3 linked regions of the Cricetulus griseus genome follow. The protein of the gene in region 3 interacts with the protein of the main gene of each other region in a biochemical or structural test. Links are inferred from orthologs where the notes say so. Each region holds a gene or a part of one and is shown on either strand. Other genes may lie near its edges.

Evidence for each region. The genes of interacting proteins can lie anywhere in the genome.
Region 1: the proteins of Ptpn3 (region 3) and Scn5a form a complex in vitro, tested with the Homo sapiens proteins (2 studies listed by IntAct, with this or other methods). The link is inferred for Cricetulus griseus from reciprocal best matches to the Homo sapiens genes PTPN3 and SCN5A.
Region 2: the proteins of Ptpn3 (region 3) and Rps6ka1 interact in a test that uses a peptide from one of them, tested with the Homo sapiens proteins (2 studies listed by BioGRID and IntAct). The link is inferred for Cricetulus griseus from reciprocal best matches to the Homo sapiens genes PTPN3 and RPS6KA1.

Annotation. Positions count from the first base shown.
Region 1 is NC_048597.1:226,640,123-226,644,317, reverse strand, and holds the start of Scn5a (sodium channel protein type 5 subunit alpha), read left to right. Parts: upstream 1-1,368; coding exon 1,369-1,641; intron 1,642-3,161; coding exon 3,162-3,280; intron 3,281-4,195. UniProt on the Homo sapiens protein: Pore-forming subunit of Nav1.5, a voltage-gated sodium (Nav) channel that directly mediates the depolarizing phase of action potentials in excitable membranes.
Region 2 is NC_048595.1:19,392,979-19,396,967, forward strand, and holds the start of Rps6ka1 (ribosomal protein S6 kinase alpha-1), read left to right. Parts: upstream 1-1,162; 5' UTR 1,163-1,288; coding exon 1,289-1,351; intron 1,352-3,989. UniProt on the Homo sapiens protein: Serine/threonine-protein kinase that acts downstream of ERK (MAPK1/ERK2 and MAPK3/ERK1) signaling and mediates mitogenic and stress-induced activation of the transcription factors CREB1, ETV1/ER81 and NR4A1/NUR77, regulates translation through RPS6 and EIF4B phosphorylation, and mediates cellular proliferation, survival, and differentiation by modulating mTOR signaling and repressing pro-apoptotic function of BAD and DAPK1.
Region 3 is NC_048595.1:86,575,357-86,579,597, forward strand, and holds the start of Ptpn3 (tyrosine-protein phosphatase non-receptor type 3), read left to right. Parts: upstream 1-1,394; 5' UTR 1,395-2,007; intron 2,008-2,701; exon of another isoform or gene 2,702-2,822; intron 2,823-4,241.

The DNA.
Region 1 (4,195 bases), on a different chromosome or scaffold from region 3:
TCCAGCAGGTGTCCAGTCTGCCCTCTTGAGCCGGTGCCCAGCCATTCCCGGGTTTGATGTGGTAATTAGAGGTGCAGCCCCCTGGCTTCGTGTCATAGTCAGGAGCCCTCTGGCCACATCCTGTTTTGGTGAGCCAGTCAGAATGCATTCTTCTGCCTTGCTGTCATAGACAGAGTGTGTTTGCACCAGGTCCTGAATCTTTTGAGGCCGCCAGGGGCCACATTCTCCCGGTTTGACATCACACACGTGTCTGTTGGACGTCCTCTTCAGTAGTGGTCACTGTCTTCCGGTCTCCTTGGGATTGGCATTTGTTTGTCCTCTCTTGTGGGGGAAGTGGGGCAGTGTGATGAGCCACAGCCCCCCCCCCATTCCCCATCTTTAGAATCAGTCTAGTTAGGGATGGCGCTGTCCCCAGGGGATCCCATGGGATCCTCATCAGGAGGTCTGCACAGCTGTGCACACCAGTGTGCCAACATTTGGATGCCGACTCCTCTGCTGCTGCCCAGATGTTTCTGAAAATCCGCAGGGTTTTCCTGGGTCCCTTGGGGTGAACGCTGATGTCCTCTCAGTTGCTGCCTCTTGTGCCCAGGTTTGGTGTGTAACACCTCATGGGCGGGCATGGTGTGTGCCACCTCATGGGTGGGCATGGTGACTGTGAGAACTGGACACCCCTCAGGCTGGGAATATTCCCTGGTGAGGAAGGGTAGGACCCCCGACATTTGCATGTGTTTCACCTTTCATGCGGGAGCAGAAGATCCATTCTGTCAGGGTCTGGGATAAAACAAATGGCCTCTGTCCATCCTGTCCCATGGAGCCCAGGGAGCCAGTTGGGGATGGGAGAGTCTTGAAAGAGGACAGTTGAGATGTTTCTTGTGTGGGAAGTGGGCAGGGTAAACTCATGATGGAACATTTTCCCTTGACCGCTGGTTTTCAGACACACACATTGCCAGTTCAGTGACATCTCCTCCCTCTCCCTCCCTCTCTCTCTCTCTCTCTCTCTTTCTCTCTCTCTCTCTCTCTCTCTGTCTCTCTCTGTCTCTCTGTCTCTCTGTCTGTCTGTCTCTCTCTCTCTCTCTCTCTCTCTCTCTCTCTCTCTCTCTCTCTCTCTCTCTCTCACACACACACACACACACCACAGTGGAGAGCATACGTGTGTACCCCAGCCACTGTCAATCATGTGTGCCTGACCAGTGATTGGCAGCTGGGAACCCTGTACACTTTGCAAATTTTGTCCTTTCCTGCTCCAGCATAGCTGGCCGACCGCCCTGCCCTCTGCCTGGGGCACCCCCTCACACACATGTCTGTGTCTTCCAGCTTCCCCCCAGGCAGCCTGAGGAGATCCTGTGCCCCCAGAAGCAGGATGAGAAGATGGCAAACTTCCTGTTACCTCGGGGCACCAGCAGCTTCCGTAGGTTCACCCGGGAGTCTCTGGCGGCCATCGAGAAGCGCATGGCGGAAAAGCAGGCCCGAGGTTCGGCCACGTCACAGGAGAGTCGTGAGGGCCTGCCAGAGGAGGAAGCTCCCCAGCCCCAGCTGGACCTGCAGGCCTCTAAAAAGCTGCCAGATCTCTATGGCAACCCACCCCGAGAGCTCATCGGGGAGCCCCTGGAAGATCTGGACCCTTTCTATAGTACCCAGAAGGTGACTGCCACCCCCTCAACACCCTCCTCACCCTTCTAGGTAGCTCCTAGGAAGACAGCAGGCAGATGGGGCTCTGCTCATGTGGGGTTCTGTGTGGGGCTGGCTCCCCTGGGCTTTGGGGGAGTGACTTACCACTGATCTATATTCCAGTCACCTTAAATTTGGAGTTCTGGGGTGAAGACATAAATAGTGGTGTTTGGGGCCCTAACTTGGGGGCAGGAAGACCACAGAAGTCTTTCCTTCTCATGTAGTGCTTTGGTGTGTACCTCTAGGGTACTCCTTCCTGTTCCTAGACGGGTGAGCACTTGGAGTAAAGCCCTGTGTGGTCTCCCTTCTAAATAAAAGTGGTGTGTGCTCCTCCCATCCTTCTGGCAGCTCAGAGAGCCAGCTGGCTCAAGCTGAGCCACAGTGGTCTCAGATTCCTGGGCCGTATGGCCTCCCCTGAACCACAGAGGCCATGAAAGGCTGAGAGGGGAGAAGAGGCCGCGACTGCTGAGGCATGGAATTGTGGGAAAGACCTGTTCTGTCATCATGGCTCCCCCGGAGAGGGAAGGGGGTGTTGTTTCTCCAAGACCCTGCCCTGGCCTCCTCTTCAGGCCACCCGACTATCCTCACTTCTGAGCCTAATTGGGGGGGGGGGTTGGTAGTGGGACAACTGGCTGGAATCTGGAGAAAGTACTTCCCTGAAGGCCAGGCACCAGAGCTATGGTCAGCTCCAAGCTAAGAGCAGAGCGAAAGACAACCGTAGTCAGTGTGAGGGTTCATGTAACGAGTGTCAGTGTGTCTGTCAGCATGGTCAGAGACAACTTTTGGGAGACTAGGAGCCTGTGTGTGTGTGTGTGTGTGTGTGTGTGTGTGTGTGTGTGTGTGTGTAGCGTGTGTCTCTCTGTGTGTGTATCTGTGTGTGTATGTGTGTGCACATACAGGGCTGCGTGTGTGATCAGCTATGGATGTGGAGACCCACACACTCAGTCCCCGCTGTCAGGAAAGCTGGCCTGGGGCTACTGTGAAGCTTCCAGAACTCCCGGTTCAAGTGACTAGAGTCAGTCAGGGTTGGGCATGAGTGTGAGAGTTATTAGGCCAGAGGTGAATTGGGTGAGTGGGTAGGTGGACTTAGGTCATGGACGGTCAGAGATGACTGGATTGGGATTGGGGTTAGGGACATGGCTGAGAGAGTCTAGGTCACCATGAGAGGAATAGAGAGGATTAGGTTGGAGTCAGATGAGACCAGTAGAGGGACAGGCAGTAGGTGAGCCTAAGGATGGAGTCCAGGCTGGGTGGGCTTCAGGCCTCTTCTCCCGTGATTATAGGTGTGTGCCACCACACCCCCTGAAAGGGTCCTGGCTGAGATGGTAATTCTGAAACTAAAGAAAATCTCAACCAACCTGACATCACCCAGACTCCACCTTCCCCCTCTTCACTCACGGCCCAGGCATGGGGTCTCACTTCCTTTCCTGCTTCCCTGCCCCTTAGCCTCGACCTGGGGCTCTGAGATGACAGCTGTCTCCCTCTGTCTACAGACCTTCATCGTGCTGAATAAGGGCAAAACCATCTTCCGATTCAGCGCCACCAATGCCTTGTACGTCCTTAGCCCCTTCCACCCCGTACGCAGAGCGGCAGTGAAGATCCTGGTACATTCATATCCTTTGCTGTTAATCCCTGTGGTCCGCCTCTGTCCTGGGCTGATACACGATGGGTGCTGGGCAAGACCCCTTACTGCTCCTGGGGCAAGCAACTGATTAGAAAAATAGAACCCCAAACTCCACCCTAGATAGTGCCTGCTCATTAACAAGATCCCTAGGGGGTATTTGGGGTGGAGGAGACTTTGAGAAAGCCATGACATCCCCTCTGCTTCTTCAAGAGGAAAAACAGCCTTGAAACCAGCAGTAGGATTCCAGAAGAAATGATGTCCTCAGCGTTGTCCTGTTTCTGGTGGCTCCAAATGTCCCCACCCACCACCACCTGGAGGTTCCCCCCACACTTCCCGCTGCCCCTTGCAGAGGCTCAGCCAAGGAAAAGCCAGGCCTTGGTAAAAAGGCCTCTAGTTTTTTCTCATGTGGGCATCTTTTGAAGGAGACAGCGCTTGCATCTGAACTAGGTGTTGACAAAATGTTTGCAGTTTGAGAGCTTCTCAAAGAACTCTGGTTAGCGTCCAATTACATAAACCGCAGCCTAAAAATGCTTCCTGCCTGCTGACAGAGCTATTGGAGTGAAGCAGTGGGGCAAAGAGTGCCAAACCAGCTCCGGGGGCCCAGTTCAGGCAGCGTCCGAAGGGGGACCAGTCCTTCTCCGCATTTCATTGTTAAGACATGCTTATTTACTTACTGTGTTCTTGTGGGGGGGTGGGGGGAATGTGGAGGTCAGAGGACAAACTGCACGGGACAGTTGTCCCCTTTCACCATGTGGGTTCCCGGGATCAAACATGGGTGGTCAAGCTTAAACAGCAAGTGCCTTTGCCACTGAACTGACTCACTGGTCCACTCGTCTCGTCTCTAGATTTCAGAGAAGGGACTTGAGGAGTCTCAGAGAGGGATGGTGCTGTCCACCAAGGCAG
Region 2 (3,989 bases), about 67 Mb from region 3:
CTCGCAGGCAAGCTCATTTACCCATTGAGCCGTCTCACAAGTCCATCCCACACCCTTCTAAAGACGAATGTACTCCCGATCCTGTGTGACTTTGGATAAATCACTTCCTATTTCTGAGTGTCTAGTAGGAGGTGGTGAGTTCTCAAGAGAATCACAAGCCACCTGGAGGTATAGGTCCATGGTACCAAATGCAACTTAGCGTGCAAAGCCTGGCTCCCATACCCAGAACCAACTAAGCAAGGGAACACAAACACACTCACAGACACACACACACACACACACACACACACACACTCACACACACACACACACACACACAAACACACACACACACACATACACACACACACACACACACAAACACACACACACGGCAGGAGGCTTTTAGGAAACTAACCAGCTTGTCGTTGGGCTATCTCACCTGAGACCACACCTGGGCCCTACGACCTCTTTAGGCGTAGGCCAAATCCTGCCTGAGGGAATCGTGACCCCACTAGGCCTAGACTTTGCCCTCTTCACAGGGCTTCAAGTTCAAACCAGACCACCATCCGGCCTGGCGCGGAAGAGACGCTGGACCTGGCCTGAAACCAGCGCCCTCAAGCGATAGGGCACAGACTGGGAGGGAAAAAATGCGTGTTGAGAAATCACCCTGGGGGCGCTGTGGGTCCTGACGCTGGGACATGGGGATCACTTAAGAGACCCCAGGTGGGCTCCCTGCTGTGCGGAGGCTTGCGGAGGGAGAGCCTGAGGACACACGGCCCCGGATCCTTCCAAGCCTCTGTCTGGATCAGGCCCAGGACATCCCTGGTAGGGTGGCAGCCCCTCCCGCTGGAGGGAGAAGGCACATCTGGGTTAAGATTCCAAATGCTGCGAGGACGGGACAACGGTGGCCCGGGCGGGGTCTGCGCGGGGACACACAGGCCGGGAAGAAGGAAGCCGCAGACTCTCCGGCGGGCAGGGCCCCGAGTGGGCCAGGGGCTCGAGGGAAGGCGGGGCCGACTCCCAGCGCGTTGGGGGCGGGGGTCCGCGCCGGGAATGCCGCGCCGTGGGGATGGGCGGGGCTGCCCAGGCCCCGCCCCCGCGCAGGTAGCCAATGGGCGCGGCGGCGCCGGGTGACGGAGGGAGCCGAAGTGCGAGTGCCGCGGCGGCGGCGGCGGCGGACGGCCCAGCCGGAGCGCGAGGGCGCGGGCGCGCGGGGGGTCTCAGTGCAGCGCCGGGGACCCCGGGGCCCGGAGGCAGCGCAGCCCGGGGCCGCCGAGAGCAGCGCGAGCGGGTCGGCGGCGGCGCGATGCCGCTCGCCCAGCTCAAGGAGCCCTGGCCGCTCATGGAGCTGGTGCCGCTGGACCCGGAGGTGAGTGAGAGGGGCGGGGGACAGGCGGCGGCGGCCGGCCGGCCAGCCCGCGGATCCGCACAGGGGCGGGGCGGCCCGCGTCGTCTCTGCAGCCCCGCGAGGACGCGAGTGCCCTCTGGTCTCTAGCCCACTGGCCGGCTCCACCCCCCTGTGCTCCGGGTGTGCGTGTGCAGGGCACGGTTCTGCTGGACGCTCAGTACCTCCTTGCAGTAGCCAGGAGAGGGAACCCCACGGGCTCTCGAGATTTGACACCCTAAGCACCCCTAGGACTCGTCCCGCTTATCATCTTTTGGGAGCTGTGGGAGTTGCCCCAGTCATTGCAGAAGGGAAAGGCTTGGGTCAGATGTCTGAGGTTCTGTTAGAGACAAGGATCATGGGAATCTGGTTTCTCCCCGTATCTTCTCTTCAAGAGCTCTCTTCGTTCCTCCACTTCTGACCTTAGGAAGGTAGCCCTTCTGGACCGTGGCAGTTATGGAATGTGGGATTTTACCACCTCTGGAGTGGGGACCTCCTGGTTTCCTTTGCCCTAATGCTAATGACACACGGGTCTCCTCCTTCAGGTTATGCTGAAGAGAGGGGAGAGCCCTTAGACCTTGTGAAGATTGTCTCTGGGGAAGAGACCCCGCATCCGTCTTCCTCTCTCCCTCCTTCTTCCTTTCCTGGAGAAAAGGCTGGGCCCTTGGGCAGTGTGGCTTCTACCATCTAGTCTCTCCCAGAAGCAGCTCCTATCCTACCAGGGCTTTGTGGTCCAACCCTGAGCATGTAGGAGGCCACTTTTGGTGGTGTCCAGTGACCCTGGGATCAAGGTCAAGTCTTAAACCAGCAAGTTGAAAACTTTGCCCTGCTCTCATACTGGGAAGGAGGCAGGTGAAACTTTGCCTTAACTGGAGCTGTTAGGGTACAGAAGACAGATGGAGACCTCACTTGACCCCAGAACCTAGATGATCTTTCTGCTGGCTTGAACCCTTACCTATGTTTGGGACCTCAGGGCAGTCACCATCGGTCCTGCCTGTCAGGGCCACAGGTAGAGGGATCCACAGTGGGGACCCCAGGTCTTCAGGCACCCAGAGCATGCTGCCCCTTTAAAGGGATGGGCTACACTGGCTATTGGAGGGTGGGCGCGGCTGGATTAGGTAACCAACCTGAAGGCGCAATTTGGAGTAAATTGTTCTGGGATCCCTGCCATGGGGTTTTTACAGGCCCTACACAGCCCTCAGAGGTTCTCTCGCTGACTCACCCTGGTAGGTGAGGAGCACTGCCCTGTGCAGCCCCTGTTGCCTTCCCCCCCACCTCAGGGCTGGGCACAAGGCCTGCGGGAAGGCTCAGAGGTGTATTCCTTTGCCTGGGCACGCCCCTGCCACCTGGGCCTCCAGAGGAAGGTCGAGCTGAGCTGGGTATGGTTAGGGAGGGACTTAGCCTGGCGATTCACAGTGTTACACTAGCAGGGAGGGTAGAGATCTGGTAGCCCTGGCCTCCTCCAGGGCAGCACTTCCTGCTTCCCTTTGGGAAATCCTGAGGCCACAGCCAGCTTCATAGGGGCCAGGTTAAACCGGAAACTTCTTAGTTTGAACACTGTTGCACCTGAATTTGGGGAGAGGAGACTGTCGGATTTCCTGGGATGGGGAGAGGAGTTTACAATGAGTTTTACTTCAGAAATGCTGAGTGGCCCGTAGTCCATGTTCCGGCTCTCTTGGGCTTCTCTTTTCACTGCCACAAATGCACTTCTAAATCTGCTTCCTGGGCCTGACAAGGTGCAAAACCCTGGGTACTGCTGTTGGTGTCCCCTCCCCCCGGGCCATGGAGGTGCCAGTGGACTGGGTGTTATTGTCTGGGTAACAGGAGCCATGGGGCAGTGAGGGTGTGCATTCTTACTTGAGAACAGGGCCTTGCTGTTCTTAGTGCAGATGGCATGTAAGCGATACATGTGCCTGACCCGCAGGTACTGGCGCCATTGTGGGCAGCTTCTAGCCAGGAAGGAAGCAGGTAAGGGGGCTGGCAGGGGCATTTGGCAAAAGAGGTTTGGGATCTGAATTGCCCTGCCTTCCCATTGCTATCACCAAAAAGTGGGCTGCTGGGCCCAGGTGGAATAAACCAGTCCGAAGTGTGGGTGAGGATGCTGCCTGGGTTTTCTTGGTTTGGGCAAAAACAAGAGAGTCTGGTCTCCAGGCCCTATCCTGCCAGGCTTCACTATCTGGTGTCCATGGATGTTATATGACTTTAATTTTCACAACTTCTCAAGATAGAAATTATGACTCCCATTTTCAGAGGGGACAGCTGAATTTAGAAATGCTGGCACCTGCATTAATATGTGGGGCAGGATTGGAACTCAGGGCTCTTGCTGTTTCCTACCAAGCAATGGAGACTTAAAGATGAGCATGGGCTAGGTTTAAACTGGCACAGGTGGCAGGTACTCCAAGAGCAGCTCCGGATGTTGGCACAAACTTCTCAGTCCGCAGGGCCCTTGTCCAGCCTTGGCGGAGGGCTAGCGGTGTCCTGGCACTTGGCCCCCAGGCTCCAGCAGTGTACAGGGCTGCCAATGCTGGGCTCAGACCCCAGTTCCTGGGGCTGCTTCCTGCCTGCGGGGCATGTACTATCTTTCTCCATCTGTTCTGTTCTGCTCTTGACTTTTCCAGGAGCT
Region 3 (4,241 bases):
ATTATTTGCATTCTTAGTGGTGTGTCCATGCCACCTTTTCACAATTTGTTGCTTTCAATATTTTCATTTGTTGTTTCCTGTTGTTGCATAGTGATAGAAATAGTTTAAGTTATAATTTTATTTGTTTATTGTGTGTATGTATGCATGTGCATGCACATGGAGATCAGAGCATAACTTGCTTGCAGGAGTCAGTCTTCCACCAGGTGGGGCTTGGGGATTGACTGATCTCAGGTCAGTTTGTCTGCAAGTGCCCTTACCCACTGAACCATATCAAGGACCCGAGAGATCTAGTTGTAATTATTTCAGTGAATGGATCTGAACACAATCAATCATTACCCTCCCTTTGAGCATCTGCTTTGTTCCAGTTGGGGAGGAGGATTCTTTTATTTCTTTTATTATGTTCCTGGTTCTGTTATGGTGATTTGAAATACGAATTTAAAAAAAAATCTTGCTTGTTGGTGGTAGCACATGCCTTTAATTCCAGCACCTGGGAGATAGAGACAGGTGGAAGATCGAGGCCAGCCTGGTCTACAGAGAGAGTTCCAGGACAGCCAAGGATACACAGAGAAACCCTGTCTCGAAAAACAAAACAAAAAATTAATAATAATCTTTAGGGATTTAAGGTTCACAGCTATTTTCTAGCTCGAATCTGAGACCATTGCTTAAGCAATGATGAGCAGAGAAAAGGTAACGGTTTTACTCCAGCAACTTTAAACTGGACAGCGCTAAGAATTCTCCAGGCCTCATCTTAGCAGTCCGTGTTACGAGAGGATGGCATAATTGAGATAGGCACTTCCGAAACGAATATTGGGGTAAGGCTTCTAGTGGTAGAGATTCGTGCTTATGGTGTGCAAAGCCCTGGATTCAAGCCTCAGCAAGGGGTAAATATTTAAAGTGGACTGAATAAATTCACGTCCTTTTTTATTTTATTTTATTTTTCCAATCCCCACACGCCCCCGAATCCAAGCGTAGGCATTTGTATTATTTAGGGCACAGAGAGCGCAAGGCTCTGGTAGCAGATCACACAGCAGCTGGTAGAGGACAGAGTGTGCAGTCAGCTGACTCTGAATGGTCTTCCCACCATGCTTGGGGGAGGAAGGTTACCCAGCACTCCCTGCCCGGAGGCAGAAGGCTGAGCCTGAGATGACCAGGTGGGACTCGGTGTGCAGCCTCACCAACCCCTCCAGGGGGTTTTTCCTTCCGGACGCTGGGCGCCCCAGGCTCCGAGCATGCCCAGTGCTCTCCCTGCCGGTCCGAATGGTGCTGCCACGGCGCTGTGGCTCCAGGTTTTGCGTACGATCCTAGGCGGGGCCAAGGCAGTGCAGCCCCCGGGACTCCCGGCTCTGTCGGAATTCCCCGGACGCGACGCTCCCGCGGCTCCCGCAGCGGTGCACTACCTTGGGACCGGGACCGGGATCTAAACCAGTAAACCAGGCACGGTCGAGGGTCTCATGGTGCCTAGGGGACAAAAGGTTCTCGGGACATCCGACTATAGGGGTCCTACCCACCTCTACATCCTCCGGTTAGCAATCTTCATTCAACAAAAACGTTTTTAGTTTGTGCCAAGAGTTGTTTAGAGGTTAGGTCTCTTGAGAGGCGGAGCTACCGAACTGACACTGAAGGGAGGTACTCCTTACGGGGGACCCAAGCCAAGAGAGACAGCCAGTAACCGACCCCGTTTGTCCCTGTGCCCTCTTTCCCGTGCCGTAGGCACAACACCTGCGCTCCTTGTTTTGGCACTGACTTTTCCGTCCTAGGAAAGCTTCCTCGTTTAGCTGCGTGACTGAATGGTATTTGTCACCTGATCCGGCTGTTCCACCAACTCTCATCAGGCCACCCCCCTAGCCTTCTTGCCCAGCTCTCTCCCCCACCATCCCCACCCCGTTCTTAAGAATTTATCACCTCATACACTGCGTTGTTTGCGGACCTGTTGTTTGTTGCGAGAGACTCCCTTCCAAACTCCCAGCAAGGGGCAGAAATTTTGTCTATTTATTAAATGTGAAGAACGTAAGTAATTGTTGAATGGATACGTGATACTTGCTTGGAAGGCGATAACGGACGTGGAGAGTGGCCAAGAGGTCAGGGCTAGTTTAGAAAGGTAGCCAGAAAGGCCTCTCCTACGGAAGATACCTGTACGGTGAGAGGGCGCCGGGCACCAGCTAAGTTGGGGAAAAGACGTCCTACCCCGAGGGAAAGGCAGCGCAAACGTCCCGAGGCGAGTCAAGTTCAGAGGGTGTGATGAAGAGGAAGGTGCACTCAGAGCGCAGGAAGGCAGGTGTGGGAGGAGGCGGAAGAGGCAGGCAGGAACGCCCTCCAGCTAGGGCCCCTGCTGGCCTTGGGACAGGCTAACCTGTTTGGCGTCCTAGGACCAGCAAAGGACTGTGCTGGAGTGTCAGCGAGATCCCCAACTCAGCCACGGAGCCCGGTGCAAGCTCGCTGTCATTTCAAAGATTCATTGAGCGCCAAGTCCTTGCCATTCCTAGGCATGCAATCCCGGAAAGTCAGGCACACAGTAGGTGTTCAATAAATGCTTAAGGTATGAACGGCAGCGAACGTGAGCCGGGGTCTCGGAGGTCCGCGGGATGTCGGCAGGTGGCCCGCGAAGGGCATGGCAGCGTGCCCCAAGCCTGCCCCGGGCCCGCCCCTGTCCCGGGTCCCCCGCCCCGCGCGCGGGCCCGTCGCGGCCACAGCCGGGCCGGCGGGAGCCGCCCGCGGGCTGCACTGGGCATGCTCAGACGGCGGCCAGGTCGCGGCGCGAGCGAGCTTCCGCGCCGCCCGTCCGCGCGACCTACCTGGGCGCCCCGCGCCCCCGGATGCTGCAGGTATGGGCGGCTGGGACCTCCGCGGGGTGGGCCGGGGCGCTGGCTGCGGAGATCAGGGACTCGCGGGGCGCCACCCCACCCCCACCCGGCCCGGGGCGCGGCGGACATGCGGGAGGACTAGCGGGAGGGCTGGCAGCCCCGGGTCCCCCGCGCCACGTCGGGCATCTTGGGGGGGCGCTCAGGCCCGGATCACCTGGCGGGGCTGGGGCGGGGCGCGAGCGGGGACGGCGCAGGGCTGGGCGTTCAGGACACGGCGGCGCGGGCGTGGGCGTGCGCTCCAGTCTGGTTGAGCCCTGGGCCCGGCGCCGCGATATAGTCAGCCTCGCCGAGGGGGCGCACGGCCGCGGGGATCCATCCGTCCGCGGCCCCCGAGGCTCGCCCCCCAAATTGGGGGGGCGCAGTTCGCCTCCCAGTTGCAAAGATGGCATTTCCTGGGCCTGGCACGAACTCCAGAGCTAATCCAATCCGCCCCGTTCCGCGGGCGACCGGGTGGCTTCTCTGTTAACTTGCGGTGACATTGCTGCGTTGTGCGGAGAGAGAACCGGAAACCCTCGCCCCCGGTTGCTGCCACCCAAACTTATTACGAACTTGAGGGTTGCCTTTAAAAAATTCATGGGAAGTTAAGACAACTTGGCACCTGGTGTTCCATGAAGGTGCAGGGAGCTTGTGGTTAGGAAACGCGAGACCTGGGTTCAAGTTGGGCTCTTTACCTTGGCCAGTTGGTGACCTTGGACGAGTAGTTTAACCTCCCTGATCCTCCATTTCCTCCCTTGCATGCAGGCAGTAATAATGCCCACCTCGCCTGGTTGGTGGTGGATTAAGTAGGATAAATGATGTGGAGGTGTTTGGCTCTGTGCCCGGCACAAAGCAAGCGAGCAGTTGGCGTGATGTGATTTTAATTCAGTTAGAGACCCTCGTGGCTCCCATTTCGTCAGGAAATTAGAATTAGGCAAGCATTTTCGGAGCCTGTGTTTGTGCCCCGGAGAAGGTCTGCTGAGGCTTTGGAAAAGCAACTGAACAGAACGGTGGGGAGCAGAGAGCCTCTTGTTTAAAGGCAGTCTGGAGTTAAGAAACTCCAGAAGTTGACACTTGGTCCCCACTTGCAGAAAGAACTGTTTCTGCAAGATGACCCGCCTTGCAAATGAGTTGGAAAGCCTGTCTGGGAAGATGCCGATGCTGCAGAGCTCCCATGCCTAACCTTAAGTACTTGGATCAAGGTTTGTCGGCATCTCACAGTGGGTTTGTGTCTTCTTTGCGGTGGGTGCCCCTTGTGCATTATAGGGTGCAAAGCAGCCTCCCTGGTATTTGCTCAATTGGTTCTTGCTGCAGCCCTTTCCATGTGCCAACCAGAAATGCCACCATGTATTGTCTGGGTTGACGTGTCTCCCCTTTCAGTAGAATTAGTTGTGATACGCTCTG